Medicago truncatula: one gene and its partners. The main gene of each other region encodes a partner of the protein of the gene in region 4 in a complex. Links are inferred from orthologs where the notes say so. Each region holds a gene or a part of one and is shown on either strand. Other genes may lie near its edges.

Region 1 (5,780 bases), on a different chromosome or scaffold from region 4:
CCTTAGTGTGCTGAAAAATTAACACTTTGTTTCCAGAGTATAGATCAAACTAAAAAACCGACAATCTAATACGAACTAGAGGCATTAGTTCTATTCAATTAACAACAATCTATATAGTAAAGGAAGTTTTTCAGTGTCACAAATTCACCAAAAACTATAGCCAAACAAAGAAACTCCTGAATGTGAAATTCATATAAAGACACAGCAAAATACGAAACAAATGAAATCTGTTTCATTGATCTATGTCTCCTTTTCTCCCTAACAAATAACCTATGGGTTTAAATTGTGGCTACACCAAATCGACTAATGCATCAACTAATGCAGCTGCAATACTGTCAGCAACTGCATCACATTAGGATCGGCGTAGGTTTGAAAATTACAGAAAAATCTACATAATAACACTGCAATCATTGCAAAGCAACATATGCAATCATCACATTGAACAGTGACAGGCCTCAATATCCTTAGTGTTCTCAAAGGATAACACTATAGCTTAAACTAAAAATCAACAATGTAATAAGAACTAAAGACATAAGTTCTATTCAATAAACAATATACTAGTATTGAAGTTCAGCAGTGTCTCAAATTCACCAATGAATTTGAAAATCATATAACAATACAGCAAAATGAGAAACAAATAAAATTGTTTCCTTACAAGATTCTAGGCTTGCTATTAATTAAGTGAAAAAATCAATATTTTTTCCACTATGAAATAAGCTGAATTTAAACAATAAGTTTCTATACAATACAAATGAACTACATTCACATAACTTGCCTATCAGCAGCATCAGCAACAATAGGCAATCTAGGTAGCTGACCCAAAATACAAGAAGAAGAGCCATAAATCAAACACACCAACAAGAACAAAAACACAGTGCTATCCAAACTCATCAACAAATCCAATCCAAACCCACCTCTTGGATTAAACCCTCTTTCCAAAAGATCAGGAAAAATCAACAGCACATCAAGAACAATAGCTTGCATTGTATTGAACCTGACATATTTACTGAAATTAGGATTTCTGACAACAAAAAAGTAAAGTGTCAAAAACACAAGAAACCCATTAAAGGGAAAGCTTTTAAAAACCCTAATTGCAGGAATCAATGGTTGAACAATGGCTTGAATTGGGTAAAATTGAGTGATTACAAATTTTCCATATTGAATGCCATCAAAAAAGGGATAGAAGTAACAAAGAGCTGAAATTAAACGGTCACTGGCATCAGCTGAATCACTGTTATTGGATTTGGATACAATTAGGGTTCTGAGTTTGTTGGATTTTGTGAATTTCTTTGGAAGTGTGAAAAGAGAAGAAGGGTTTGGTGAAGAAAGGAGAAAGGTTGATTGAAGTGGTTTTCGTGAGTGACTGAGAGATGATATAGCTACAGAGGAGAAGAAGGTGGAGCTTGCCATGGTTAAAGCTTCAAACTTGAAAATGAATGAATGGTAGTTTGGGAGGGTAAGGTAAAGATAGGAACTGGAAAGTGGGAAAAGGGCAAAGAGAAGAAGGACAAGGATAGGTATGGTAGAACGTGTTTCTCTTTCAAACTAGTATTCTTAGTATGGTCTATACTTCAATTAGATGTCTAGGTTGCCTTTGAAAACTCATGAGCAATTTATCCAAACCAATCAAAAGTTTTCATGTATACTCCATTAGAATAATAACATTTATTATTTTATTTTGCAAAAATTTAGCAAGTATTTTATTATTTGCATATTCACTTCATCTTAAATTAATGATTTTTTACGATTTAAACCATCACAATAATTAAATTTCACTTCTAATCCAATCACTCTCGAAACCTCTTTTTCAGCTTGGCAAAAATCATTAAAAATTAAAATTATCACCCCTGAGAATCGAACCTGGGTGCTCCCACCTATTTAAAATGTACTCTGGAACCACTTGATCAATACATTTTTGAGTTTTTCTAATTACACCCTGTTTAATTTTGGTTGCACCCCAAAATGACAAAATTACCTTTCCATAAAATTTAATTTTCAAAAAGCATATTCCTTTTTTCTTGGTTACACCCTAGATCCCTATTCAGTTTAAGTAGGTCATGTAAACTTAGTTTCAGTAGGTCATGTAAATTGAGTTTAAGTGTACATACTTAAACTCAGTTTAAGTAAGTCATGTAAACCGAATTTAAGTGTACATTTAAAAGTTCAACATTGTTTAACGATTCTACGTAATCTCAGTTTAAGTATGTACATGTAAACTTATTTTAAGTAGGTCATGTAAACTAAGTTTAAGTGTACATACTTAAACTCAGTTTAAATAGATCATGTAAACTTAGTTTAAGTAGCTCATGTAAACTGAGTTTAAGTATACATACTTAAACTCAGTTTAAGTAGGTCATGTAAACTCAGTTTAAGTGTACATCTAAAAGTTCAACCTTGTTCAATGATTATACGTAATATCAGTTTAGGTATGTACATTTAAACTTAGTTTAAGTAGGTCATGTAAACTGAGTTTAAGTGTACATACTTAAACTCAGTTTAAGTAGGTTATGTAAACTAAGTTGAAGTAGATTATGTAAACTAAGTTTACATGAACCTACTTAAACTGAATTTAAGTTAACCTCAACAATGTAAAACTGAAACTGTCGTATAGTGCAGTTGAACAAGAAGAAGAAAATTGAAACCAGCGTTATTGAAAAAGAAGAAAAAATTCACTTATTTATATGCAATCGAGTATGAATGAAAGATGTTTTGATTCACTCTTTAATCTTCCATAACGATTAATTGAACATCAGGATTGTTTGATCGTTGGTGGGTGAAAGAGAGTGGAATTTTAGAGTGACAATGAATGAAATCAAGATTTTAAGAAAATTTATATAAAAGGACAATTTTGGTATTATCAAAAACTTTTTAAAAAAACTGGGTGTAACCAGAAATATATAGGGTGTGAATAGAAAAACTCTACGTTTTTTATGAAATAATTTGGAATTCAAAATTATGTTATTAGTGAGCAAATTATTTTATTTTTATTTGCAGTGCCTTTATAACCTAGCTTTAGTGAAAAAAAAAAATCATTTTATGTGTGTATAATTATGAAGTAGTAAATTTTTCTTAAGAAAAATGAATTCTTTCAATTGATTTTTTATATTTTAAATATCATTCTTTTTTATAAATTCATACTTTTATATAGATTCGATGACCTACAACAATGTTTCATTTGTGATCCACCGAATTATGATTTATTTTAGGTACTATCTTTCATTTGAATTAGATAAATTGTTTAAAGGTAATAATTTTTTTTTTTGCAAGGTCTTATAAGTTATAACCTAGCTTTAGTATAAAAAAAAAAAAATCATTTTATATGTGTATATTTATGAAATAGTAAATATTTCTTAAAAAAAAAAATGAATTCATTCAATTAATTTTTTTATATTTTAAATATCATTCTTTTATATAAATTCATATTTTTATATAGATTCGATGACTGATGAGATAAAACCGCAAGTGCACGGTTCTACCAGAATTCAGGGCATTACAAAGGCAACATGTGGCATAAAAACATTACTTTATATGTATATACTATTGATTTTACTATTCATTTAAAATATTTTATTTGCTTAATTGCACTTTTGGACCCCTATCTTTCCAAAAGTTGCGGTTATGGACCCCTAACTAATTTAAATACAAAACAGTCCCCTATGTTTTGATTCTTTAACAATTTTGGACCCCCAAGGCAAAAAAAAAAAATTGACAAGTGGCACCTCACTTTGGGTGCCACGTCATCGTTGACCGAGTCAACAATGGATTGGGGTCCAAAATTGGCAAAAAAATCAAAACATAGGGGGCTGTTTTGTATTTAAATTAGTTAGGGGTCCAAAAGTGCAATTAAGCCTATTTTATTTACTATTTTATCCTTTAATAATATTATATTAAATTTGAATTAGAAAAATGAAATCTCATTAAAATAGGAAATATACCACTACAACATGAACAATACTATATATACTTTTTTTTTTTTTGACAAAATACTATATATACTATATATGAAGGGAATAGAGACTTTGGGCTGAATTTTTTATAATTTCAATTATACCCTTAAACAAATTTTCCTATATTAATGTTACATTCTTGGTGGTATTAAAAAAAGATAAGAATTTATATTATATTTGTTAAACTACTGTGTTGTTGTGGTAAAAGATAAACATGATTTTTTTTTGGTTTATTACAATTTTAATTTCACAAATATTTGTACTTATAATTTTAATCAAAATCAAAATTTCATATAAAATACCGTTCATAATTTACACATGTCACGTGCCCGTTTTTTCGCTAGTTATATATAGTATTTATACTATATATAAAGAAAACTATCTCTTTCAGCACTTTTTGTAACACCCCGTTACCCAAAAACAATTATATAACAAATATTCATCAGAGTAGTTCCACAACGGGCATGTTACACGTCATTTCAAAATTTCTTAAATAGAAAATAATACTATTTAATTAAAACAACTTGATAAAATATGAAAACATAGCAGCGGAATAGTTTTCAAATCAATAACATCGTGAACATCCAACAACAGTTTATGGCACTAAAGGCCTCAGCATAAGTCAACAACATTGTTCAAAAGACCATAAAAGGCTCCACATCATAATTTCAAAATTGATACATAAGGAATGAAAATAAATATAACTAAATCCCATCCCGTACGTATCAGAGTCCTAGACAGTTGAGCCACCACTCCTACTAATCTTTATTACCTGCAAGTTACCCATACGAAGGGCAACATTTTCAAGCAGAAGGGGTGAGATTCACAATCAATAATAATAATATATAATTCATCAAAATGCATCTAACAACTTAAACTCCATCAATTAGTAATAATAATTCTTTTAACGACTCCTAAACCATATCATGTACTCATCATATCAACATTCATAACTCGATATCATAAACAACATCATTTAACTTCATAATCAACATCTTAATCATAATCATATAACGTCATACTTATAATTCGTATACAACATGACAACTTCATAATCAATGACATAAACAACGTAACAACATCATATTCATAGTTCATATACAACATAACAACATCATTAATTCGTATTAACATTCTCCACCAAAGCACCTTATTAACAACTCATGAATAGAGGACAACTTAGCAACTATACGTAACATCATCATTCCATAATAATAATTATTCATCAAACATTCCATTAGCAATTCATAAATAAAAGACAACTTATCAACTTAACATAACTATCATCAAGTACATTTAACAACTCATAGATAACATCACATAATCATCATCACAACATTCATAATCATCATCATGTAACATCATAACAACCTCATATTCAACACCATAAACAGTCATCATAACTTCGTAATCATTATCATAAACATCTTCTCATAATAATATAAACGACACAACATAATCATCACATCATAACAATATAAACAATTACATATATTTAACAATAATGTTCTTACTTCTTTAACTTTAGTAACACTTACTAATTCAACCAACAACGACGATAACTACAATTATCCAATATATGTATATATTTCATAATCAACAATATCATCAATAATAGATATCTAACTCATCAATTAAATCTATCACCCTGTCATAAAAATAATTCATCAATATATAAGTATATCATCATTAACAACATCAACCAAATGATAATTAAAACCAACAACAACGACTCATGCAACAACTCGACACCACCGCTAAGACTCATGCAAGACATGACAACACCACTAAGACTCCTCAAAATATACAATTATGCATGTGGTACCAAACAGG
Region 2 (6,899 bases), on a different chromosome or scaffold from region 4:
TCAAGGTTGGGGATGCTTCAACTTTTCACAGGTTTCCTTGGTTACAGGACGGGATGAGACTCTCGTTCATGAATATAGCATACATAGTGGACATTATTATCCCACATTTTCAAGTAGCTTGACTTCATTTCTCTAAGAATATCGTTACATCTTTTCACCTCTTGAAATGTCTCTTTTACATTTCCACCACTTACATGACATTTATTATTGTTTGGAAATTATAACTGATTCACAACTAGAACTAACAATGGAGCTGTTCTTGTAATACTTGTTGAAAGGAGATGTGTTATGTACTTATGTGTAGATAGTTATGTTTAATTCCTTGTTTACAGTTGAAACAATTCGCTTATCTTAGTTGCATGAAGAATTAAGAGTGGAAAAGTTGTTTCTGTAGTATTTGTCGACTGGAGTAATGTTATTCCAATTTAATTATGTTTGCTTCCTTGTATACAGTTACAGCAAATGGGGTGCATATGGACAGTCAAAGCTTGCTAATATTTTACATGCCAACCAACTTACAAAACATTTCAAGGTATGGTATGCTTACTTCTACTATATAGTGGTGTTACTTATTTAACATGTTATCCAGTGAAGTAGTTTATTGATAGTGTTATTATCTCTCATTATTTTAACCTTAATCTCGATGTAACAAGTTCTATTTTATTATTTTTAGAAGTGCTGTAGCATTAAATCTGCATATTTCTTCTGTGGAAAATTACTTTCTTCTGCAGTGTGAACTGTGAATGGAAGAATTTTGATTTAGAGTTACTTGTTTTTTTTACAGCATTTGTCTTCAAACTACACTTATAAATCATAATCCTTTTTACAGCATCTGCTATCTTAATCACCTATCAATTGGTGACTGGTTTTTTTATTATAAAATATCAATGACCAAATATTGTTAAACATCAACTTTAGTGGATGTTTTATCCGCCTCCATTCCAACTCCACCTAGTTGGAACAGGCTTTAGTTGTTGGTGTTCCTTCATTCAAGTCTCTGAAAAAGACGCAAACTTTGCATCCCTTTTGGCAACCATAATCATAGCTTTCTCAGTCTCCCTCCCTTTTGATGGTTTTGCCACAATAATTATCTTTGATTTATAACATTACTTGTTGCATTTTGATCAGGATGATGGTGTGAATATCATTGCAAATTCTCTTCATCCAGGAGGCATTGCCACCAATCTTTACCGTCATAACAGTGCAATCAACGGTAACTATTATAGCATTATACTATTCAGGTTGTCTATGAATTATTATACAAGTCCTCTGATGTGGCATTCTAAATTATTTGTTCTGTATCATCTACCGTTATGTGGCACTATCTTTCTTTGTTAACTTCATGTTACTTGTCCTAAAGAAATTTTCGGTGGATTTTACAATGATATAAGTTCTTATCTGTCTACATTGCTCTAGGTGTTTTATCCTATATTTGGTACATGATTATTGTTCAGAACCCACCATCTAATAATATTATGATTAAGGTTGGTCGTTGCCCCCCTCTGAATTTTGAAGAATACAAACATGTTTTTTTTTAACAAGGAAGAATATAGACATGTTAAAGACCACAATCAACCTTGTAAGCATTCATCGGAAACATGATCACCATGATCGCCGAGAGTCTGAAACAAAAAGACTTTGTACTCCCTCCTAACTATTTTGTTTGTTTGTACTATTTTTATTTCAATTCTAGTAATTTATCTTTCTTATACTATTAAAGAAGGCTAATTTTCTAAAGTAAGCCATACGTTTTATAAAATCAACAAAATTAATTACGTTTCTTAATTCGTGCATTATTTGCTAAATTGACTAATATTGAAGGACAGAGTGAGTAATTTACAGCACTTGATTGGTACACCAAGTCATCCATAATGTACAACAACAATAAAATCATCCTAGAAGTTGGATGCTTTGTCAGTCTCTCCACTATTCTTCCCTAACCATTTACATTATTACTTTATTGTCATCAAGCACTTCATTGTGTTTATCTGACTACTACTATAAATACATTTGATGATTTTGAATTGGGTGGTTTTTCTGGTTTGTTTGTTTACACACTGGCATTCTGCAGTGTCCATAAAGTTTGTTTGCTTTTTCATGTGTAGAGATATTGACAGTAGCTGAGTTCTATAGATATACTATTGATGTTTGATTTATGCAACAGGTATAGTAAATGTGGTTGGCAAACTTGTGATGAAAAACGTTCCACAGGTATGTCAAAATCATTATGACCTACTATTTATAAATGTGAGGGGTCATGTCAAATAAATATTGGTTGTTATAAACATTTATTAACTAAACATAGATTATAACTTTATAAGCTTTCTGCTAGTTGCATGTTAACTTTCTCCTCTATCTAAATGTAGGGGGCAGCCACAACCTGCTATGTAGCATTGCACCCACAAGTGAAGGGAGTTAGTGGTGAATATTTTTCAGACAATAATGTGGCCAAATCAAGTTCACATGGGAAGGATGCTGATTTGGCTAAGAAACTTTGGGATTTCAGCATGAATTTGATCAAGGACAAATAGAATAACCAAGTGTTGTATAAGAATGAAAATGACATTGTAATGTGTGTGCACGAAACTAATTGATAAAAAGAAAATGGAAATAACATTCATTGTTCATGTCAATGTGAAATGCATCTATAACATAATTGATTGTCACGTTTGAAACAAGATTGTAATTCAATATGAAATAGGGTCCCTTAATATGGACCTCTTGTAAAAGGGTCCAAACATGGTCCTCCTAAATCAAACCGAATATTGCCCTTTTTGTTCTTTGGTTTATTATTATTATTATTATTATTAGGTTTTGCTGTTCATTTAGAGTGAAGTGGTAGACTCCGGAAATACACTTGTGCGACATTGTGATGTTAATGTATGTATTTTGAAACGGATAGAGTAATTAACATGAAATATTTTTTTTGAAATAATGAAATATTTTTATACTACAGATTTTCAAATTCATAGTTTACCTTTTTAATTCATATTTTACATTTTTATTTTTTGCAAAAGGCAAAATGGCTTATATTAAACACAAGGTAGAGTACAAATATAAAGTCATTAATAAGGCTTCTACCAAAAAAAAAAAAAAAAAAAGGCAATAAGGCAAGCACTTTATGCAGCAAGAACCCCACTCTGAGGAGTGAAGACAAGAGGACAACCATTCCTTCAATCAATCCAACTCCCTGACTGAGTGAGTGTAATTGTAGAAACAACACAACTCAACTAAACAACTTAGTACCACACATTAAATTCCACCTCACCAACTTGGCCACATCCAATCCAGTGCACTAAATTACTAAGGGTAGAAAAGAACTCTTATATCGTTTGAGGAACTCTTTTTTATTTTATTTTTTTATCTTTTATTGAGTTAGACTTATGTCCCCCTAATTTTATGTTTATGTTTTTTTATTTCTTGAATAAATTTTTAGTTTATAAAAAAATTAGGAATTGAAGAAAACATGTTGACATTTTTTCAAAAATAAATGTTGTTGGTGTATACAAATTAAATCATTTGATTGAAGAAAACATTTTCCTCATTTAGTATACTTCAATCCTTTTATCTCAATAGATAGAATATAATGTAATGAAATAAGTTGTAAAATAATAATTAAATGAAATAAATTTAATGATTTTAGACGGAAAAAGAAAAAATCTTCCCATAATTTGAAATTAAAGAAAAAAGTTTGAATAAATACAGAAATGGAATTAGATTATTTTTTGAATGAAGAAATTGAATATCGACAGATAAAATAATTACTTTTATGGACAAAGATAAAATGTTTACTTTTTCTACTATTTCAATATATACATATATGATATAATAAAAAGAGATAAAAAAAGTTTGATGTGTTTCCATATCATCCAGATATATAGTAGCGTCACGTCAGTTACAACAAGCACTGCAATTGCAATATATCTCGGTCACTGCTTTTGTGACACACGGCAGAGAAAGAGATTGATACGCAATATGTGGCCATTCAGCAAGAAAGGTGTTTCTGGTTTTTCATGGAACTCAACTGCTGAACAAGTCACACATGGAATCGATGCTACTGGTCTCACTGCCATTGTTACTGGTTGATCTTTCTTTCTTAATCATTTCCCAAAATGGTATCTCTTCATGCAAACAATTTTATACGTACGTGAATGTTTATGTTAATATATGTAAATTCAAACAGACGCTAAAAAGATTATGATGAAGACTACTATTATATCTACACGAAAATCTTTTTAGTGTCTATTTCAATTTGCATACTTGAGTTTATATATTAACATAAACATTTGTGAGATTGATGAGGGAGTTTATATATATAAATATCCTATATTATATTCATAAACGTTTTCAGCTTATGTTAATAAGTTCTTTAGGACAACTTGTGAAAATAGTTTAATTTTATTATATCTTTTGGTTGAATACAATTTTGATTTCCAGAAATTGCATAAAAAAATTATGCAGTATTGTATTACTTTGTAGCTTTGCATCACATAAGCATAGGTTTTGGGATGAATTATTTACAAGCTTTTTCGATAAAGATCTAAGACCCCCCATATTTAACTCTATCCAATTTAGCCTCCGCAATACCACTTTTTTGTGTTAACTCAGGAGAAAGGTCCGGAGTTTGTAAGAAAAGTTTCGCCAAGAATTGTTTCACCAGGAATCAAACTCAAGTTATCCTGAACACTAACAATTCGTTTTTGGTAAAGCGTATTAACCACTTGAGTCCAATTGCTTGGATGGTGCAATATCCCTTTAAAACTACTAGTGGTGGTAGTAAATAATAATGATCTACAGCCAATCTCAAAATATTGAAATTTGCAAACAGTTTTCTTAGATTAATCATGATTTATCTCTTAGTTTTTTTCTCTTTATCTTCTTCTGGATTACATATCCATAAGATTTTTTAAAATGGTTTGTGAATCTAACTGTGGGCACATTTTGACAGCAAATTTTTGAAATATAAAAAATTGTGATTGTAAATTGTAATGCAACCACGACCACAATTTGAAACCCTGTATATGCATGCTACATTGAAATCATTGATAAATAAATATCGAGATGTGTGACTATTTTAATGCGGTATAGTATATGGTCATTGTGGTAACAGGAGCATCCAGCGGCATTGGCGCTGAGACTGCTCGTGTCCTTGCTTTGCGCGGTGTGCATGTGATTATGGGTGTGAGAAACTTGGTTGCTGCTAAAGATGTCAAAGATACAATACTCAAGGACATTCCCTCAGCCAAACTTGATGCCATGGAGTTAGATCTCAGCTCATTGGACTCTGTCAAGAAATTTGCATCTGAGTATAATTCTTCTGGTCGTCCACTGAACATCTTGATGTAAGAAAATGAGATTAATTTAGTCATATAATTATCAGATTTATTTTTACTGTTTTATTGAAGTTGTTAGTTACTTGTTCTGTCTCATTATATATGTTTGTTATTTCTATGTTCCAACTTCCAATTGTGCTTTCTTAATTACAATCATTCAAGTCAACACATTAGTACTAATTTTTCTTGTTTGTTTGTTTGCAACTGTAAGAAATAATGCAGGAGTTATGGCATGCCCTTTCAAGTTGTCCAAAGACAACATTGAACTGCAGTTTGCCACCAATCACATAGGTATGTGGTGCATGTTACTGTTTTATTCTCCGGAAAATTCATTTGATGACCGACACAGTGACATTAATCAATTTTAATAACCTTTTACTCTTCTTGTAATATGAATTATTCACAAACTTTCCAGCACTAGAGTGGAAAGGGAGGAGAACTTTGCCACTTGCAATAGTTTATAGGGAGCACAGGACATGTGTTTTATTGATTTCTAATTCAAAGAATTTAACAATATCAGGGATAAAAGTGATAGTTTGTACATCACTGAAATATGTGTAATTTACACTTCTGATCCATCTCAATCAACTTATGTAACACATCAAGTAACTATTTTACTGTTTTTTTTTGTTGAGAATTTTACTGTATCTTTTAATACATAGGATGAGAAGAAGCAATATTTCTGATTTTATTTATGAATTATTGTAATTACGCAGGTCATTTTCTCTTGACAAATCTTTTGTTGGATACTATGAAGAAAACAACACGCAAAAGTAAGAAAGAAGGAAGAATTGTTAATGTCGCCTCAGAGGCTCATAGGTTCGCATATTCTGAAGGAATCCGTTTTGATAAAATCAATGACGAATCAAGGTAAATGTCATGTGATTGATTTTGTTTTCTTCCTTGATTACATTTTATTAGCAATTGGCTAACATTAGTTGCATGGTGAATTAAACTTGGAAATGTGACCTCTTTATACAGTTACAGCAGATGGGGTGCATATGGACAGTCAAAACTTGCTAACATATTACATGCCAACCAACTTACAAAGCATCTCAAGGTATGCTTACTTCTACTACATGTTATATGTTTTACCATAATTCAATATAAGTTAGCATTATTGTACCTCACTTGTCTTAATGTTTTGGTTGATTAATAAAAAGGATGTCCTTAGTTAGGTATGTGTTCTTTTCTTTGTCCCTTGAGCTTTTATCAGTTGACAAAGAAACTGATATTTCTGACTAAACATAATCAGACTATAGCATGAGTGCATGACCTCTTTGGCTTTACGGCCTGTTTGGTAGAGTCCATAAAAACAACTTATGATATGTCCCTAAGTTGTTTTCAGCTTATTTCCATGAACTCTACATGATAGCTTATGAAAACAACTTCTAGCTTATATGGAAATAGTTTGACTTTATTTTATCTTTTATCATAGATATATTTCATACATACGCACTTATATGAGGAACTTTTATTCGATAAGTGCGCTTAGTTAAGTTGTTTATCGAGATAGAGCCTTAACTTTGCTTGTTATGTACAATTAGTTGCTTAATTATCTACTAA
Region 3 (5,576 bases), on a different chromosome or scaffold from region 4:
AGCAAAAAAATTATCCTTGATCTGTAATCTAACAACATTAAGCCAAAGCACCATTACATAAGAACAATCCCTCAGAGCATGTAAAATAGTTCCTGACTCGGCCCCACACAAATTACAACAAGAACTACCCCATCAACCTACCATGAACCGCGAGCCACTGAAAGAATTTGATCCTCTCTTGAACTTGAAGTTTCCAAATTTTAATCCATAAATCATGAGATTTCTTAAACTCAGAACTGCATAACAAGTGATAAGTTGTTGCCACTTCTAGTACTTTTCATTAGGAAGTACATGGGCAACGTCAAATTCCATGTAAACCAAGAAGTGAATTTTGTTCGGGTAATGTTGTCTATTTGTCAAAGAATTTAGTGAGTTATCATGGATTCACTGTTTAGTTACGTTTTTCACAATCGTAAAATAACCCATAAAAGTTTATAAAATCTAACTTCATTTCACATTTCATCTTATACCACAAATAATGTGATACATCAAACACTCCATAAATTGAAAAGGATAATTAATTGTATTCATTCATTAATTCAAGTAACCCAAAATAACTAACAGAACAGCAAAAGAGAGGTAATTGTTTGTTTGATACAATTCAATACAACACATAGTAATCCTATAATCTATCATATGATATTCAGATTTGTCTAGCAGCAGCATCAGCAACAAAAGGCAGGTAAGGAGTCCTACCCAAAAGACAACACAAAGCACTATAAACAAAACACAGAATACTAAAAACAAACACAACATTATGCGACCAAACCAAAATCTTAAAACCTAATCCATATCTCCCAGGAGAGAAAATCCTCTGAAACAGCATCGGAAGAACCAGAAGCACATCTAATGTCAGAGCCTGCATAGCATTGAATCTAACATACTGTGGAAAAATAGGGTTCCTCACAATTCCCAAGTAAAGCGCGAAGAACGCTATGAACGAAGCGTAAGGGAGGGATCTGTAGAATGAGAGGAAAGGGATGATTGGGTCGAAGAGGAGTGCGACTTTAGGGTATTGGGTGAGAATGTTGTGACCATATTGAAGGGAATTGAAGAATGGAAGTGCGTATGCGGCGATTGAGATTAACCGTTCTGGTGCTGCGGGTGTGGATGTGCTTGCTTTAACGACGCCGTTTCTGAGTTTGAGTTTGAGTGATGGTTTAGTTAAGGGTGAGAATGAAAGGGAATTGGGTTTTGGTTTTAGGGTTAGGGTTGAGGATTTGGGGGTGTGGTGAAAAATGCAGGGACGGTGGAGAATAGAAAGGGAAGCCATTTTTGGTTTCAGAATCGGTTCTTGGTAACTTCTGCAAAATGGAATTAAACAACTGTTTTAGATCCTTTATCTGCTGCTGCATGCAGTTACTTTCATTGGGCCGGTAAAAAACTATGAGTAGTGATATTTTGGCAAATATTTTGGTACAACTTTTATTATTCTCTCTTTTCATTGGTAAAAAATATTGGAGAGAGAAATAAAAATATAATGTGAGTATGAGAGAGAAAGTTGTACAAAAGTTGTACCAAAATTGTTGTACAAATATCATTTCTCAAAAACTATAGGGTCTTGCTAACCATTGCCCAAAAGTAACATGTTTGCATTGATTTCAACATTTTGATTTTTAAAAAGTTAAATTTATCATTTTTCACTATTTTCTAATACTATATTTCTATTTTTATCCCCTTATCTAATGTCCCAAGGACAATGATTAGCATTCTCCAAAACTATATTATTTTTCAAGTATATATTATTTAAGGTTAATAGTGTTGTTCACCCCTATAATATATGTCATTTCCGATTTTCGCTCCTACAAAATTTTCAGTTTGATTTGCACCATCGTAAAATTTTTATTTTTCGGAAAACACCCCTAATAGGCCATTTTCATATTTTTTTTTCAAGAAATTTTGGTTTTTGAATGGCCTATTAAGGGTGTTTTCCGGAAAATAAAATTTTTACGAGGTGAAAATCAAACCGAAAATTTTATGGGGGCGAAAACCAGAAATTACATATATTACAGGGGTGAAAAGCACTATTAACCCTATTATTTATTTTCTGGTAATTTTTTTTTCTTTTTTTTGAGATTATAAAATATAATATGATTAATTGAATATCTTTTGAGTACTTTTTTAATGATTTTTGGAAATAAGACGAGATGTAATATCTTCACATATGGTGTATATGTATGTACATCTTTTTTTCGTGTTTTATATTTGTTCTTGTCATCGAATGTAAGAGTCTATTGGAGGTGGTGTGAAACAATTGTTGTGTTGGTTCACGGTGGTTAGAGCAGATTTTTCATGAATGTAAGAGGGTGTACCTGCAAAGATACCCCAACGCTAAAGTCAGTGAAGTTTCAACGAGCATTGAGAAGATTTCTTGAAATGAGAGTGTGTACCTTGTTTTCCATGTGACACACCTGTTTATAGAACTTGTGTGGATGTATTGGATTTACCCTTGAGGCACGATGGTCAGGCAATCATTGGATAAAATGAAGGGCTCCAAAATGCTTCGAGTATATGATTTTGTATGATCTGACTCTTCACGAGTGCATGTAGACCACAACATCCTTTGGATGCCTTATCGGGACTTCGTTGGCTAAGGTTTCGTTGTAAGTTAACGTGAATGGTACTTTATCTTGGAATCAAGCTTCACGAGGTGGTCGCACAGTTAAAGACATGTACAATGCAATAATAAACGAGAATGTTAGCGATGCTTGTCGTCTATATGATTGTGTTGATGTTCTTAAATAAAAGGTTATTCCCAAAGCATATTTTGATTCGCAGAGAAACGAAATGACGTATGAACGAACTTAAACAACAAGGGCTTCCCATCCACCTTCATACGCAACTATCACTCGAGTCTATCAACTAATAGTTGGGGGGGGGGGGGGGGGGTAACTGTTCTGGTATGGGCTGACACCCAACAACTAATAAGTTCTAAAGGGCTCCTCGCAAAAAGGAGTACATGGGGCTGCGGCATAGGAGTGAACGGAATCGAATGAGAACAAATGAACAGCTAAAGAGGCTTGTGGCATAAGAGCACACATACTGAAGATGAACAACCAGCAGGGTGTGTGGAACAAGAGCAATCTAATTAAATCTGGACAACCAACATGGATCAGTGGCACAAATCTGCCATGGACCAAACTCTCACAGTTGCCCAGGTAAAGGTACAAGGACTAAAACCTTAAATTGCCGCCATAAATATTGGCTCATAAGCATGAGGTCAAGTGCGTTCACTTTACACATATGCACCTACCGCCCATGCCACTCACTGATTTGAACGTCGGATTCACTTGGAGAAGAAGGCCGCAGGCGACTAAGATAAATGCAACAACTGAAGGAAATGTCTTACTTAAAAGCCATTCAACATCATCAACTACAAAATCTCAGGTTCGATAGGATCAACTATGTTGTAGGTGGATATTATCAATCACTTACATTGTTGAATATATATAACTATAAAATTTAGATTTCAATAATAATATTGTTTTATATGAGAAATTTAAAGTGAGGGGATGCTTAATTCAATGCAAGAAAGTCTTTAATATTTAAATTACAATTACAAAGAGATTTTCATTTACATTTTCTCAAGAGTGCTAATAGGGCATGAACTCGAAACTTAAACTTAATCAATATAATTAATTATAATAATTTTTTTGATTGATACTTCTTCATATTTAAAATATAAATACAGGCCCATCCCTTTGAATCTACAATGCCCAACTCAGCTGAAAGTGTTGGACCGAACTTTTTTTTTTCTTTGTATTGATCGAGTATAAAGTTTGAACCTTAAATTGTTTTTTATTTTTGTGTGAGTTTTCAAAGTAAATTATTTCTTACGAGAGAGAGTGAAAAATATTATTCACTTGAAAAAAAAAAAAAGTAGATGCATTGGATATCGTAAGTGTGCGCTAGTGTAGTTGAGCTACCCCACTGAACACAACAAAGAGTAAGTACCTTAGATTTCATCGATCCGACATCAATCAAAAAACTTGCTTGTTTCAGTTTCAGTTTCATGGCTTCCTCGTTGTCTTCCACTTCACCTTCTGCTGCTCCTACTGTCACTGTTGCAGCTGCAGCTTCCACCAAATCTGCACGCTTTTCTCATTCCTCCATCTCTTTCCCTCGTCTCTCTCCTAATTCCAACAACTCTCTCCGCTTTTTCACCAAGGTATCTATCTCTTTCCATATCACATTTTATCTTCCTAAATTTATATTTATACTTTCTTTTTAATTCAAATTGTCACTAATTTATGTATGTCTTTGTGCAGGGATGCCCACCTAATCATATGCTATTATGCCCCAGGGTTAAGGCTCAACTAAATGAGGTAAACATTCTCCCTTTTACACTTCATATCTATGAACACACAGACACGAACACCGAACATGATACTGACACGCAGTGCCGGTATTGTTTCCGTGTCAGACACCACCTGAGAGGCCTTTAATGTTTGTGGCTGTTTGAATTGACTTATTTGAGTTAATTTACTGACATAAACACTTGAGAGACTGTTTTGGAGAACTTATGAAAACAACTTATGATATGTTCGTAAGCTGTTTTCAGGTTATTTTCATATGTTCTATAAGATAGCTTATGGAAACAGCTTATAGATTATACGAAAACACTTCAATTTAATTTTATCTTTTGTTATAGAAGTAACTTATACGTAAGTGCTTATGCTATAAGCTGCAAATTAAGTTGTTTCTTTAAATCTGAAGTGTCAGTGCTACTGTAACATAGCTTTATGTGAGTTTAGATTGAATTTTCCTCATAAAAAAACACAAAATTACAATCATTGGTTGGAAAATTAACAGTTGAGTTTGTGATAAAATACATACATTTATGCTGCAAACTATAAGTTTGCCAAAATCTGTTCTCTTGATAGATATGTGCGCACTGCGTCCACATAGACATATGTTTCTATGCTGATTTTGGTCTCTTTTTTTGGCTTCAACAAGGTTGCCCTTGATGGTTCTTCTAATGATGTGCCTCCTAAAGCCAAATCAGATGTTGAACCACCGACCGCACCTTCAGTTGAACCATCTTCTTCAGTCTTGGCAGATCAAGAATCAATCTCTGAACTTTTTGATCAAATTGCAAGTCTTGTCAAGTAAGTACCCGGCTGCTTCAATCTTGAACTTGATAAATGCTACTCCTCTGTTCAAAATTAATACTACCTCCGTCCCTAAATATAGGAGCCTTTTTCCAAAATTGCAGAGATTAAGAAAGTTGGTTGTAGTATTAAATTTGTATATAATTACTATTGTTTTTACAATTTTATCCTTAAGAGAGAGTTAATTTATGTTTTCAATATAATATTTATTGTTGATTGAAGAAAAAGATGCAAAATAAATAAGGGTATGTTGGTAAAGAAATAATTAATGTACTTGAAAATATCAAAGGAGTCTTATAAAAAGGGACAAATTATTTTTTCAAAAGTGTCTTATAATTAGGGACGGAGGTAGTAGTTGTTTTACCAAAAGTAAAAAAAAAAAAAAATCAAATTAAGTGTCGTCATTAATTATACCTTCTTATTTTTCCCTCATTAATTATATATGAGACATGTAGTTTATATTGC
Region 4 (7,019 bases):
TGTGGACTGATTGTTTTCTTTCTTTTTTCTTTCAAGCATGATCATTATATAATTTCTTCTCGACCTCTTTGTGGATAAAGTATAGTAAACTACTACAGATTTTGTTTTGTTTTTGAAAAGGACATAAAATAATAGACAGTATGCTTTTCTAGCAGACGGTGACTCTTCACCTGAACACATTGTTGAGAAACTTTTTCTTCTTCTATTACTTGTTTGGCTTAAATTACATAGATGGAGACAACACTAGATGTCATAAAAAACCATTATACAAGCTGTAAGGGTAATATTGAAAAGGGAGATTTTTTACAACTTGTTGCTCACAATCTCCTATGTGTCCTAATAAAATTTGTTGTATTCAATGCAACAGCTGTTGAACAAGCATATACTCCAACAGAGCACAGGGCTGCAGATGCCAACAGGATGGCTTTCCATTGTCTCCCAGTAACCAGAATTGCTAATGCAGCTAATGCAACGACCACAGCCGAAAGGGCATTTTTCCAAGTTTGAAAAGCTTTGACGGCGGTTCTACATCCTTTGCAATGTATTACATGCCTAAAATATCTATTTGCTAAATTTGGAGCATGCATTGTTCCAATGCCCCCCTTTGCAGGTGAAGAAGCTGATAGTCCTGCAATGAGTCCAGCAGGCGCATGTTCAATCACAGCCGGCTCTTTGGGCAGGGAAATAGTGTTGTGACCAAAATGATATGGCATCCCGTGTCCCACTTTATCCATCCACTTACGGTATTCAGCAACCCATGTGTCTGATGATTTTAAATTCAGGTATAGTTCCTTTGTCGGAACCTTCTCTTTCAAAAGAATTTCATTTTGTGATGATAAGAATCCCATGTCTTGTTCAAAAACCTTGCTTGCATTCTGATGGAAGTACCATTGAGGAAACAGTTTTACTATTGGAGATCTTTTTGTTCCTCCAAACCTCACTATCAGCATGGATTTCCCTTGTCCAGTTGGCCTACAAAGGAACAGACCACTGAAGTAGTTTATTTCACCATTTTTATCTACAATTTCCCTGTTATTTTGTAGAACACAAGGAGCCTCAAACCGTAAGAAGTTAGGCTTAGTGCCGTCTTTCTCTCGTCCCCACCAACCTGCAAACCCTCTATCAGTTCGTTCTGTCACCTCAAAAAGTAGCGGTTGTGCATCTTCTCTCTTTGCAGTCCAATCTGTTCTATCGTGCGAGATTGGAATATGAGCAGGATCCATCAAGTTTTCCAGTAGAATAGAATGATCATATGGGAGTTCATGAGTTGTTGAAACATCTTGAAACCCTGGCCTTGCAAAGTTCTCAAACCAAGGTATTTTGCTGACATTTGGAGGTACCTTTGGTGACATCCATACCCAAATAACACCTTGAGAATCCCTCACCTCATATGTTTTAACACAGGCTGACCTGGGAATTTTTGCATCAGCTGGAAGCTGTTGAAAACAGAGAAAACAGTTATTATTACTTGTTACTTGTTAGCCTCAAACCATATAAGGACATTCATGATATAGGTGAGTAGAACTCTAAAGTCAGTAGCCTACCTGAGGTATCTTCACACATTTCCCTTCGCCTTCGAATTGCCATCCATGATACAGGCATTCAAGCCTTCCATCAATCAACTGGCCTTCAGATAGTTTTGCTAACCTGAATCATATAAAATATAAGATCCAGTCCAGCATTGTGAAAGGAATAAAAAATCATAATTTCTTATACTTACTTGCCAATCAAATGTAGATGGTTTGATTTAATTTTGAAAAAATTAGCCGGTTAACGTGAGAATATTTATTAATGTTCATTATCACCTATGAAAACAACTAGCACAGGGGAATTCGTAAGTAATTGAAATTGGTACATACTATCATTATTCATTAGGTGAACTTAGTGACTGTCCTAGGAAAGATACAAATATTAAATGAATCAAATTTGTTTTGATAAATTTCAGTGATACTCAAATGTTTAAATATACCCTAGCCTCTTCTCAGCAGTAGCAGTATTGTAAATATGGTATTACAGAGAGATAATTAATAACTAACATAACAATCCACTAACATTATTAATACCAATATCTTATTCCTAAATAGAGTAATATAGATCTCATTATCAGACAAACACATTGGATTAGTTTCTGATCCTTGAGTTTGATTTCACATCATGGTAGAGAAAAATAAACCCGAACATTAGGAGCACCAAGTATATACACAGTATACAGCTACAAAATCTGTATTAACTGAGAAGAGCTGTATCTGCATCAATAATCATGTTATTTTCATTTAATCACATAGCATGCAACTTTGGTTAAATCAATTATGAATTCTTACATATGGGATGTGATCACATAAAGAAGTTGAAAGCAAAATCAATCATAAGAATAATTAGAAGCGAGATAAATTAAAACCAACCTGTGAGGACACCGATCTTCATAGCATTGAAACTGATCATTGCCATCTTTAAACAAAACAAGGTTCTTGTCAAATACTGTGAGACCCAACGGTGCATCATCTGGTACATTCTTAGTGAGGTACAAAGGGTACCATTCCTCTTTCCAATCATAAGCTGCAAGTTCTCTCTCACCCCTGCGTTCTTGCTCACTGGAAGGTCCCACTAGAACTTTCTGATCTTCTTCCACATCAAGTAAAGTTGATGCAGTTTTGACATCTGCCGTGGCGGGGAGATACCCTGCATGCTTTCTTCTGCTTGATGACAAGCCTTTGTTGAGATTGAAACTGAAACTGGAAGATGGGCTAGTCCAAAGGAGTATTTGTTTGGATGGTGGAGGTGAAACTGGCAAAGCAAAATGAGTTTTGGTAGGGAGAAGAAATGGATTTACCAACGCCATAGAGTGAAATCAAGAAGCAGTACTAGAAACTGATCGAGGTAAAGAAAGAAGAATTAGAAGAGATACTTTCAGGTGAGTGTTGTGTGTGGTTGCAAGACTCGTGTGACATTCATAACCACACAAAATATTGCTGATTCTTTTACCTTAAAATGAAAATTTGGACACATAATCCATTACACGCAACATGGATGAATTCTCGTTAACTATTGTCGTTTCATAGTGTCTATATGAGACTAAACACAACCATAACAAAACCAACGTGGTCCACTTTTGTCAAAAAAACAAAACACTAATGTGGTCCACTGTTACTAATAAAAGGTTTAACGTAAAGAATTGAAATGCTAGGAAGAATCGATTTAAAAAGTGTGGAACTCGTCTGAGTTTTAAATAAGAGAGTGGATTTAAAAAGGAGTGCTCATAACGCTACTCTTGATGTAAAATGTAGGAAGCAAATTGAACTCTCAGTAGAATTTTTTAAGCTCATTTTCAAACGTGGCTAAATAGATGCATTCCATTGGAAGTAACATGTGATGTGTGGTTAGGATCTTCAAAATAAATTTGTCCTACACTGTGACTATACTCCTACTGAATAATTGTTTGTTATTTAAACCCATATGTTATGTGTTTTTCTTTTTCATACAAAATAAAGGATGTAGTATGTTCCTTCACGTCATGTGACTCTAAATTGATTCCACAACAGGAGTGCACATATTCTCATGTGATTTTTGGTGTTATCTACAATGTGGTGTGTCAAGTACCTTGTCAATTTTTAGGAAGAATCTAAATTTGATTTTGAGAGAATTTTTTTAGTTAGATGATACTTATCTTTTGACTGAAGTCCAAATTACTATGAACTTTTTTTTTATAAATCGAAGGATTAACACGCAAAAAAATCTTGGCAGCAGAGGTATAATCTTCACAAAACTCGGAATCACAATTCAAACATTAATTGTGTTTGAAATATTCATTAGAATAAACATTTATATTTAATATCTAACGACCGCTTGAACATAGTCATCTATAGTAAAAAAAAATGTGAGTTAGTTAAAAAAAAAATTGAATGACGTTAATGTATTTTGATATTCTTGTATGATTGTATTTAAATAAAGGGTCTTGTTAACTAGTGCATCCAAGACATTCTTTAAGGATCCTAAATTTAGAAAATATTCATTAAAAAAGTCTAATGTTACAAATTTCAATGCATTGATTACACAATTTTTCATAAAAACTTACTATTAAAAGTTTTTAAAGAGTACCTCGGAGACACTCGTTAACATTTCTCTTAAATTAATTAGTGCTAGCACAAAAAATACCTCATTTATAAAAAAATAACAATTGTGATTTTTCTTTTAAAAGTTCTTGTTAGTGAACTTTAGGTCAAACCTAGTAGGAAAGTGTCAGGTACTAGGCCACCAATGTTTTGTATATTTCATGGGTAAATGGTGAGTTAGGTTTTGGTATGAGACTACTAGGGGAGGATCAGAGTTTCTCCCCCATTATCTCATCAACTTGGCCCTAATATTTTGAGTGGTTATTTGCTCCTCAAAGTTAATTTAGGGTCGGTGTAGACTTAACCCCAAACAACGCCATCTCTTGGATTAAATCATGAACCTCCTCTCTCTCTTAATCGACCCTCATATTGATGGATGTGTTAGACGAACCATCCATCCAACAAAAAAAGTCGAATAAGTGATGAGATGAGAGAGAGACCAAAATAAAATCAAATAACATTCTCGCTTTAATGTTAGAGAATCCTTGTTGAGGATGCCATTTATGTTTTTTCATTACATTTTGCATAACTGCATTCAAATGATTTTGTTATAAATAAGGAGGAAAAGATTCAACAACACTGCAACAGACAATCTACTTATGATGTTTACTCTATGGTGTTTTGACGTTATTTCTACTTTGTTGTTATTCATAATAATTTTCTTTTATGTATTCCTCCATATTAATATGTGTGTATTTTTTTTTTATTTTTTTTTAAGTTTTGCTATAAAATTTGTTTTAAGTCTCTAAATACTCTAAATACAGTGGACTAACTTTAGGTAACAGTAAACTATTTTACACCAAGAGTGCAACTCCCGTTAAACTCTAATTATTTTTATGGAGTAAACCTATAAATCAAAGAAAAAGTTTTTTGCAATACTTTCTTTATTTTTTAGGGTATTGCTAACAAGTGTTCTATTCTATGCACTAATTATAGAGCAAACCAATTTGAGAACCACAGTCGCAACAAGTGTAGGTAATAAAAGTGGTTCAATTAATAACCGCGGTCGCAACAAATGTAGAATCCATTTCAAAAATAACATGTGCAAGATGGAGATTGTGAGCTATGCACATCCCATGAATTAAACCCCACATCTCAACACAATGAGAATTGTTATGTTGAAGCTTGCAACGAAACCTTTAAGTACCAAACCATCGTGGGAATCTCTAAAACTAATCAATCCACCATACGTCAAATTGTCATTCCTCTTATTATGAGATCCATACTAAATTTAAAGTTAAATATATGTTTGGTCCTTATAAAATGATAATTTTTTAAGTTGAATCCTTATTTAATTTTAAGGGTCTTGTAAATCGGCGTCCAAAGGACATTGGTTAAGAACCTCACAAACTCTTTAATATTTTTCTAATTTTAATAGTTTTTTTTAGTCTTATAAAAACTTTTGTACATAGATTTAGTCCCTAATAAAACAAAATTTGTTTAACAAACCTTAAACTCTAAATTTTTTGAACAATTTTTTTATAAACATGTTTAGAACATCATATTTAATTTATCTCATCTCATATTTAAAAAAATTAAAATTAAAATAAGCAAGATTTTTATGTTGTTCTAAACCTGTTTGCAAATTCCAAAAATTTAGATTTAAATGATAAACAAATTTTATTGAGCAAATAGTCATTTTGGTCACTGACTCTGCACTTCCGTTATCACTTTAGTCCATGACGTAAAAAAATCTGTTAAGTGATGATGTGGCGCATATGAGGTGTCAGAAGGACTAAAGTGAAAGTAGAAAATGGTCACTTTGATCCATGAACCAAAAATCAATATTCCTAAATTGAATATCAAATTCCTAAATACTTAAATCTCAAATCCCTAAATGTCATCTAATTCTCTATTTTGTTCAAATTAATCTTCCATTAAACACAATTTATTGTTAGGTCCCTAACTGTGCATACTTACTATCAGTTAGGTCCCTGACAATGAATTAGCAAATCCATTAGCATCTATTACTCTTGATTATTGTTATATTCACATGATAATTCATATATCTACCCGTAGGTCTGAGCATACAATAATCAAGAGCTCAAGATATATTTAAATGATAATTCATTTCTATTGAATTTCTTTTAACATAATTTCTAACTCAAAATTTGTTCTACTTACTAGGTACTTTTCATGTTTCCAAGTTTATTATCAAATTTCTCACTTTAATTTTTCTTTCATGAGAAGTTAAAGCAACTAAAACATAAGTTCTTTAATGTAACTTAATAGCATGAATATGATATTTAATACTATTGAATCAACACCTTCTTGTACAAATCTGAATGTCATTAACTTTAAGCCTGTGTATTTTAGCAAGTGAATTTATGCATTAGTTATTCACATCTCTCCACCAAAAATTTGATATTGTTGTTGAAAGACACATAAAAAATCAAGCTATAACTTTAAAATACTTACAGAGATTATAATTAAACACACTTTTCATAATTCATTTATCTATATATGTAATCCTGATGCCATTAATATACTAAAGGGAGAAAGAGGTAACAGAACCACAACACTATGACACTACTATATAAAACTCCAAACCTTAGCCCAACATATCATTGCCTCAAGATCAGCTTTCAAGCCAAAAAGATCCTTAATAGTCAGGGACCTAACTGATAGTAAGTATGCACAGTCAGGAACATAACAGTAGGTTGGTGTTTGGAAGATTGATTTTGAGCAAAAAAAGATAATTAGATAATATTTAAGGATTTAAGATTTAGGGATTTGATATTCAATTTGGGAATATTGATTTTTGGTTCAGGGACCAAAGTGACCATTTTCTACTTTCACTTTGGTCTCTGTGACACCTCATATGCGCCACATCATCATAATCACTTAACATATTTTTTTAACATCCGGGACTAAAGTGACAACGGAAGTGCAGAGTTAGGAACTTATTTG

The links.
Region 1: protein TIC 55, chloroplastic (region 4) and protein TIC 20-v, chloroplastic share a complex: the UniProt entries of both Arabidopsis thaliana proteins name them as parts of the tic complex. The link is inferred for Medicago truncatula from reciprocal best matches to the Arabidopsis thaliana genes TIC55-II and Tic20-V.
Region 2: protein TIC 55, chloroplastic (region 4) and short-chain dehydrogenase TIC 32, chloroplastic share a complex: the UniProt entries of both Arabidopsis thaliana proteins name them as parts of the tic complex. The link is inferred for Medicago truncatula from reciprocal best matches to the Arabidopsis thaliana genes TIC55-II and Tic32-IVa.
Region 3: protein TIC 55, chloroplastic (region 4) and protein TIC 20-II, chloroplastic share a complex: the UniProt entries of both Arabidopsis thaliana proteins name them as parts of the tic complex. The link is inferred for Medicago truncatula from reciprocal best matches to the Arabidopsis thaliana genes TIC55-II and Tic20-II.

What each region holds. Positions count from the first base shown.
Region 1 is NC_053046.1:43,070,559-43,076,338, reverse strand, and holds protein TIC 20-v, chloroplastic, read right to left. Parts: upstream 1,566-5,780; 5' UTR 1,411-1,565; coding exon 763-1,410; 3' UTR 537-762; downstream 1-536. UniProt on the Arabidopsis thaliana protein: May be involved in protein precursor import into chloroplasts. Not redundant with TIC20-I, TIC20-II or TIC20-IV.
Region 2 is NC_053042.1:48,849,782-48,856,680, reverse strand, and holds the start of short-chain dehydrogenase TIC 32, chloroplastic, read left to right. Parts: upstream 1-3,888; 5' UTR 3,889-3,975; coding exon 3,976-4,081; intron 4,082-5,110; coding exon 5,111-5,342; intron 5,343-5,544; coding exon 5,545-5,624; intron 5,625-6,049; coding exon 6,050-6,203; intron 6,204-6,314; coding exon 6,315-6,393; intron 6,394-6,899. Other genes in the region: short-chain dehydrogenase TIC 32, chloroplastic, read left to right, coding at 454-532, 1,129-1,213, 2,165-2,211, 2,367-2,531. UniProt on the Arabidopsis thaliana protein: Involved in protein precursor import into chloroplasts. Part of the redox regulon consisting of TIC32, TIC 55 and TIC62.
Region 3 is NC_053048.1:37,298,457-37,304,032, reverse strand, and holds protein TIC 20-II, chloroplastic, read right to left. Parts: upstream 1,326-5,576; 5' UTR 1,274-1,325; coding exon 644-1,273; 3' UTR 501-643; downstream 1-500. Other genes in the region: biotin carboxyl carrier protein of acetyl-CoA carboxylase, chloroplastic, read left to right, coding at 4,013-4,168, 4,269-4,325, 4,957-5,108. UniProt on the Arabidopsis thaliana protein: May be involved in protein precursor import into chloroplasts. Not redundant with TIC20-I, TIC20-IV or TIC20-V.
Region 4 is NC_053044.1:52,261,598-52,268,616, reverse strand, and holds protein TIC 55, chloroplastic, read right to left. Parts: upstream 3,014-7,019; 5' UTR 2,840-3,013; coding exon 2,403-2,839; intron 1,648-2,402; coding exon 1,545-1,647; intron 1,437-1,544; coding exon 318-1,436; 3' UTR 166-317; downstream 1-165. UniProt on the Arabidopsis thaliana protein: Involved in protein precursor import into chloroplasts. Part of the redox regulon consisting of TIC32, TIC 55 and TIC62.